Linked DNA regions of Xenopus tropicalis. The protein of the gene in region 1 interacts with the protein of each later gene in a biochemical or structural test. Links are inferred from orthologs where the notes say so. Each region holds a gene or a part of one and is shown in the gene's direction. Other genes may lie near its edges.

Region 1 (3,894 bases):
TTGAATCTGTGGGCCTGTGGGTGACCAGGCTGCACTGGCAGCTCTAATGTAACTAATTCCAGTAAGGATCCATTCTAGCCGAGTCAGCACTCCAGCCCTGTGCTTGCTGTAGGTAGGGCAAGCCAGAAGCAGTAATGTCAACAATGCTCATAGCAAGCAGCTGCACAGCAGGACGCACATTTGCACACCATGTGATTTATATGTAGTGTTTTCACACATAATGTACGTGCCCAACAAAGCAAAGACAATAAGACAATAACAAGGAGCATTGCCCCATCTCAGACTGCCGCCTTTCGCTTCCTTGTTGTGTCACTGGAAAAAACACTAAATTCTACCCAAATACTCAAAAATCTCATGAAGTGCATAATTAGAAGCTCCCGGGCCCCGCAGCGAAACAATTGTAGGGCCCCACACAACATAGAAATAAGACGTTCCGTAAACCAATACTTTGCTTTTCACTTGGCGTCATATTATAACGCTTACACCTCCGGGGCCCCAGCAGTCGCAGCATGTGCTTCCGCTATAGAGTTACGCCTCTGCCCCACATTTCTCTTACAAAACAAGGGAATGAATACGAAGACAGTAGAAAGTGGAACTAGCAGCGTCCTAAAGCGCCTTCGCCACCAACCCAAAGACCTCTACTGGCAACGTCATCGGGTGGGCGTTGTCGAAGGCCGGTCAACCTGTAAACCAATCACACTAAGCCACGCCCAGTCACAGAGTCTCCAGCTTGCCGATTGGCTGTGCTTTTGTGTGACGTTTAAGTCTCCCCCTTCGCCTCCCCGGCCTCGTTCGCCTGTCTGGGGTGAAAATAACGCAGCGAGAAATCGGCTCTGCGGACTGGAATGTCCCGGGGCTGGGATCGGAAGGGATGATGATGGCTAAAATGCTACCGGTGCGTCTATCGCACCCCAGCATCATGGTCAAGCAAGAGCCGGATGATGACTCAGACACGGACGAGCCCAACTTACTGCTTAAGAAGTCGGACAGCTCCGAGGCGCAGATCATCCACAGCGGCCACTTCATGGTGTCCTCCCCGCACAGCGAGCACCCGCCCAAGAAAGGATACGATTTCGACACCGTAAACGAACAGGCCTGCCAGACGTACAGCTTCGGCAAGACCAGCTCTTGTCACCTGTCCATAGACGCGTCTCTCACCAAGCTGCTGGAATGCATGACCCTGGCATACAGGTACCCATGTGCCTGCAGTGCTGCTGGGATCTTTTGGCCTTGGACTACAAATCCCAGGATCCCCCAGCCAACCTAAGGATGCTGGGACTTGTAACTCAGGTTGGAAGATCCCTGCAGTATTGTGAGATAAGACACCAAAAACTTGTATGCAATTATGCAGCTTGTACAACAAAGAGCACAGTATAGCAACACTGGCCTTTCTCCCAGGCAATACGTCATTTATACACGGCTTTACATCCAGTGACGTCATCAGTTGGGGCTTTTTAAAGCACAGCTGATGTGTTAGATTTGGTTTGGCAATGGTCAGGCCACAAGTAACATTAGATGGGCCCTGTTACTGCCAGCTGTGTGCTGTTGTGCTACTATTACCAGTCCCCCTTTTTCTCTAGGTACATATGAGTGCTCCTGTTGGTTTGTGCAGGTATGATGTGACCCAGAGCTAGGCTGGTACCCCATTGTCCAGTTAGGCAAAAAGTGTCATCAATGTGTTATCTGCCTACCAGTAACACCAATGGCACACAGGGTAAGTCCATACATTTTGCTGCCAAGATTCTCAGTGACAGTTACTTGATCCTTGTGTGGGTCTACGTAACTGCTATCAAAATCAATGAAGATGATCAGTTATGGGCATTATGTTACCTGTCCATGTAGCTGTTAAATGCTTGGGCAAAAAATACCCCAAATTGCTCAGTATGGCATCACTCCTTCCTGCACTACTACAGTTTGTGTAAAGTAGTTACTGTGTAGCTTTTGGGGCTGCCTTTCATGATGACATTGGGCTGTAAGGCACCAGTTTTTAGATCAGATTACAGATATGTTGTATATAATACAATCGGTTTAGTTCTTACAAATTGTAAAGTGTGTTGCACTATGTTAATAAATGATGTTGATGATTGGGAGGAGGATGATAAATGGGTCAAATGGCAATTATGGCTCTCTCCAAAACTATAGAATGAAGCACCTCTCATTTAATATGGCTTTTGTTTCCAAGAAAGTTTATTTGTAGGTGCTGGTTGGGCAGATAAAACTTAATATAGTATTGACTGACCCTTTTATGGTTAATGTCACACATAAAGATCAGCAGGCCAGTCCAAATTACTGCTTGATAATGATATTATTCTAGATCTAGGGTATCTGTAATATCCAGTGATAAAACAAAGTTGTGTGTTTTATCTGCAAGCAGGTAAGGAATGTAGGCAAAGCTGTCTCTTTGCAACCTGCATGAGCCTTCAAACAGCTGATTGACCTGTCACCTGCAAAGAGGTAATGGGATAAAAGTAACAAAATGTGCACCAATCTAGCCATCTGTAGCATGCAATCAGTAAACTGAGGTGGCCATACACAGGCAGATTTCAGCTGCTTGTTTCAGGTCCTTCAGACTGATTCGGCAGCTTATCTGCCCGTGTATGGGCACCCCCAATGGGCCTACCCGACCGATATCTGGTCTAAAATGGCCAGATCTTGATCATGCAGGTTTAATTTTCAATCAGATTGGGGACTACATTCAGGTTTGGACAGGGCTGGCAGGGTGCCGGGAAAAAACCCGATGGGCCTCGCTGGCCTAAACCCAATCCCTGCCATTGATCAGGTGGGCCCTGCACCTCCCAGTCTGACCCTGACTACATTGGCCCATTCACTGCACCTATGCCTTCTGTTGTAATTTGATTGTTTGGCCCTAGGGCCAGACAATCGAATTAGCCCAATATCGCCCACCTTAAGTGGGCATATCCGCTTGTTTGGTGACCGTGTGTATGGCCACCTATACTGGTTCCCTGTTTAAAAGCAAACATCTGATTGGTTGCCATGAATTACTAGATCTGGTGTAAAATGTGCTACTTTCATTACATTAAACCCTGGGTGTTTACTGGTGTACACTGGCCAATGACATAGCAGCTTAATTGCATTAACTATTGCTGTGACTTATTTACTAACACAAAAGCTAAACTGCACCTGTGCAGTAACCCATAGCATACTATACCATAGCATACTCAGGGATGTACTGGTGCTGATTTGGTTTTCTACCTTAATTATATTATTTGCTTTGGCAGCACTTGTTCTGAATTAGAAGCAATACCATCAGTTTCTGACTCTCCAATCAGCTGCCAGGTACCACTTATAGCTTACCTACAGCATCCTGGCACCAAATATTTGGCCTTCTTCCACAGATGAGTTGCAGTGTTTCAGTTGTTAGGGTAGAGAGATCCCCGTTGATTTGTACTTTTAGTTAACATATACAGTCATATGAAAAAGTTTGGGAACCCCACTTTCTTTGGAGTTTTGTTTATCATTGGCTGAGCTTTCAAAGTTGCAACTTCCTTTTAATATATATGCCTTATGGAAACAGTAGTATTTCAGCTGTGATATAAAGTTTATTGGATTAACAGAAAATATGCAATATGCATCATAACAAAATTAGACAGGGGCATAAATTTGGGCACCCCAACAGAAATATTACATCAGTACTTAGCTGAGCCTCTTTTTGCAAATGTAACAGCCTCTAGACGCCTCCTATTGCCTTTGATGAGTGTCTGGATTGCGGTATTTTTGACCCTTCGTCCATACAAAATCTCTGCAGTTCAGTTAAATTTGATGGCTGCCAAGCATGGACAGCCTGCTTCAAATCATCCCATAGACCAGGGGTGTCGAACTCAATCAGAGAAGGGGCCAAAATCTAAAATCCAGCCTAAATCGCGGGCCGAATGG
Region 2 (3,927 bases), on another chromosome or scaffold:
GACCCCATCTTGCCTTGCTATACACACAATGTCCCACCCCTGACACCATCTTGCCTTGCTATACACAGTCCCACCCCTGACACCATCTTGCCTTGCTATACACACAATGTCCCACCCCTGACACCATCTTGCCTTGCTATACACACAATGTCCCACCCCTGACACCATCTTGCCTTGCTATACACACAGTCCCACCCCTGACCCCATCTTGCCTTGCTATACACACAATGTTCCACCCCTGACCCCATCTTGCCTTGCTATACACACAGTCCCACCCCTGACCCCATCTTGCCTTGCTATACACACAATGTTCCACCCCTGACCCCATCTTGCCTTGCTATACACACAGTCCCACCCCTGACACCATCTTGCCTTGCTATACACAATGTCCCACCCCTGACCCCATCTTGCCTTGCTATACACACAGTCCCACCCCTGACCCCATCTTGCCTTGCTATACACACAATTATAGTGCACTCCCTGTAAATAAGTATAGGAGGACCCAATGTTGTGCCCTGACTATTGCTCTGCGGGGCCCCCGGGGCCTGTAAAGGGTCCCCCCTTTCTAGCCATCTCATTCTACCAACAGGGTAACAAACTGCCTATCAGCTCAAAGCTTCTGGGGGTGCCGGGAGTTGTAATTCAATGAGCAAAGAGACGTAGGTAAAACATCCCTGAATGTAATGAAGTTCAATGCCAGAGGTGCAACCTACTCCCCTCCATTTATGGGATTCTGGAAGTTATAGTTCAGGCAGCCCCCCACACACAGGCAGGATTTTAGGTATTTAAAGGGTAAGTTAACCCCTCCTCAGCCAACCAAACTGCATCAGCCAGGCAGGGAGCTGGGATATGACAACCTCCCACCAAATCTCCTCTATATACAGGGATACCTGCCTCCCATGGCCCATCTACCTCCCTCTACACTCAGCACCTTAGAGCCCCCCAAACAACTCAGTAGCATCCTAAAGAGGAGATAGAGCTCAGTCTGAGGGGCTGCTCATTGACTCCCGAACCACCCTATTCCATTGCATGCTGGGTAATGTAGTTTATTCAAAGCGTAGTATCAGGCGACAGCTAAAACAAGAACTACATTACCCAGTATGCACTGGGGTTATTTACCAGGAAAAGGGAAGAGGCGGGGCAGGTAGGGCTGAGAAAGTTTTGCTGTGCGTGTAGTTTCAGGATATTATTAGTATTTTATTCGTTGGACTTTAACAACCCACCTAGTATGAAAACGAACAATATATGACTGGAAATGTACTATTTTGGCAGCCCTGGGATCCTCGGTAGTCGCACGTCACACTCTCGCGAGATTTGGAGGAAATTCTGGGGGAGCTGTCGGGAAGCAGCTGAGGGGCTGAGGGGCTGCGCTATAGGAAGGGGTTGTGGGGCGTTTAATCAGCGCTCCGGGACGACGATATCAGCAGCTCCGGGCGGGACGGCTGTCGGTTCTGTTGTGTGAGTTACCGACTGGAAGCGGAGCTCAATGTAAATAGGTCCGTGTGCGGGAACCTTCCATTTGGGGAAGTGCTGCCAAACTGACAGGGGAAAGCAGCTTGTAATGTAATCCCATCAGCATTGTACGGATAGGAGAGGGTTAATACGTTAAAGGGGAACTCCCCCTCCCAAATATTACTTTATACCCCCTGGTCTAATATCCATAGAATTCAATTCCCAGGCATTTATAGTGTGATCCCTTAATGCTTACAGCAAACATGTCTTATGCTCTAATAGCCTGTTTGTAACCCTTTGTATTCATCCTTCTCACTCTTCCTTCTAGCCTGATGTTCCCTATGTGATAATGTGAGGCCGGGTAAGTCTTTCATATACTTAATAACTGTCTTTTATTGGTTTTTATTTTATAATAAATGCTTACAGTTGTATCAAGGCTTGGATCCATTATCTGGAAACCCGATATCCAGAACGCTCCAAATTATGGAAAGCCTGTCTCCCATAGACTCTAAGATATAACTTAGATATAACTAAGATATAATTACCCCTTATTGGGGGCAGAACAGCCCTATTGGGTTTATTTCATGGTTAAATGATTCCCTTTTCTCTGTAATAATAAAACAGTACCTGTACTTGATCCCAACTAAGATATAATTACCCCTTATTGGGGGCAGAACAGCCCTATTGGGTTTATTTCATGGTTAAATGATTCCCTTTTCTCTGTAATAATAAAACAGTACCTGTACTTGATCCCAACTAAGATATAATTACCCCTTATTGGGGCAGAACAGCCCTATTGGGTTTATTTCATGGTTAAATGATTCCCTTTTCTCTGTAATAATAAAACAGTACCTGTACTTGATCCCAACTAAGATATAATTACCCCTTATTGGGGCAGAACAGCCCTATTGGGTTTATTTCATGGTTAAATGATTCCCTTTTCTCTGTAATAATAAAACAGTACCTGTACTTGATCCCAACTAAGATATAATTACCCCTTATTGGGGCAGAACAGCCCTATTGGGTTTATTTAATGGTTAAATGATTCCCTTTTCTCTGTAATAATAAAACAGTACCTGTACTTGATCCCAACTAAGATATAATTACCCCTTATTGGGGCAGAACAGCCCTATTGGGTTTATTTCATGGTTAAATGATTCCCTTTTCTCTGTAATAATAAAACAGTACCTGTACTTGATCCCAACTAAAATATAATTACCCCTTATTGGTATGAAGATCCAAATTATGGAAAGACCTCTTATCTGGAATACCCTTGGTCTCAAGCATTCTGGATAACCTGTATACCTGTAACTGTAAATATCAGGGAGACATTGCTTTTACCTGATCTGCATCATTATATTTATAAAACTCAGGTAAATTATATTAACTGTGTATATTATCTCCAAAATCAAACTGTTTAAACCCCAGGAAAGCGTAATGTGGTGGCTTTGGACTATGGTTTTGAAATACGGCTTTAAAGGGGAAGTTCACCTTTATGTTCACTTTTAGTATGTTAAATAATATTCTAAGCAACTTTTCATTTGGTCTTCATTATTTATTTGTTATAGTTTTTACAGCTTTCAAATTGGGGGTCACTGACCCCGGCAGCCAGAAAACTATTGCTCTGTGAGGCTCCAGTTTTATTATTATTGTTACTTTCATGACTTATTTTTCTAGGCCCCTCTCCTATTCATATACCTGTCCATCTTTCAAACCACTCCCTAAGGTAATTTGGACCCGAGCAACCGGATAGCTGCTGCAACTCCAAACTGGAGAGCTGCTGAACCAAAAGTGAAATAAAATAAATAAATAAAAGAAACAGGGGGGCCCATTTATAAACACTGGGCAAATTTGCTCCTAGCAACTGGTTAGTTACCCACAAACACACCTTCCTGTCTTTAAATCAGTCATCCCAGTGCTTGGTATAGAGGGTTAGCGCCCTCCTCTGTCTGAAAGCAGTAAATCTATCGGCACAACAAGAGCAATTCCAAGAGAGGCAGACCTGTTTTAAAACAACATTATTGGTTACCATGGGTTACTGCCCCTGGGCAAAGTAAGTGCTTTTTAGTACACGCGGGTGGGGTAATGTTTAATTTGGAAGTAGAAAGCGGCCTAATAAATGCATGACGTTTGGGCAATAATCCAATCTGTTGATACTGTAAGAACTGGATCACAACAGACTTGGCATGGGTGCATTCATATTAATTTAGTATATATGATTTTATCTTTTTGCAGTTCCTGTCATGGAGCAGAAGGGAAGTTTAGTGTCCAGAGCAAACAGCATTGGATCCACAAGTGCATCTTCAGTGCCCAATACAGGTAAATCCTAAAACTGTTTGCACATGATTAACCTCACCTTCCACCCATTGAGGGTTGCTCTATTTTATGTTTTTATTCAAGTACATTTCAGGCTTTAAGATTAAATATAAATTCTAAACTGTGAAAAATATTTTCCAAAAGTAGTACAGGTATGGA

What was found.
Region 2: the proteins of mlxip (region 1) and mlx form a complex in vitro, tested with the Homo sapiens proteins (2 studies listed by BioGRID, with this or other methods). The link is inferred for Xenopus tropicalis from reciprocal best matches to the Homo sapiens genes MLXIP and MLX.

The regions. Positions count from the first base shown.
Region 1 is NC_030677.2:162,021,829-162,025,722, reverse strand, and holds the start of mlxip (MLX-interacting protein), read left to right. Parts: upstream 1-807; 5' UTR 808-874; coding exon 875-1,191; intron 1,192-3,894. UniProt on the Homo sapiens protein: Binds DNA as a heterodimer with MLX and activates transcription. Binds to the canonical E box sequence 5'-CACGTG-3'. Plays a role in transcriptional activation of glycolytic target genes. Involved in glucose-responsive gene regulation.
Region 2 is NC_030686.2:6,144,536-6,148,462, reverse strand, and holds the start of mlx (max-like protein X), read left to right. Parts: upstream 1-1,182; 5' UTR 1,183-1,458; exon of another isoform or gene 1,459-1,496; intron 1,497-1,780; 5' UTR 1,781-1,813; intron 1,814-3,687; 5' UTR 3,688-3,695; coding exon 3,696-3,771; intron 3,772-3,927. UniProt on the Homo sapiens protein: Transcription regulator. Forms a sequence-specific DNA-binding protein complex with MAD1, MAD4, MNT, WBSCR14 and MLXIP which recognizes the core sequence 5'-CACGTG-3'. The TCFL4-MAD1, TCFL4-MAD4, TCFL4-WBSCR14 complexes are transcriptional repressors.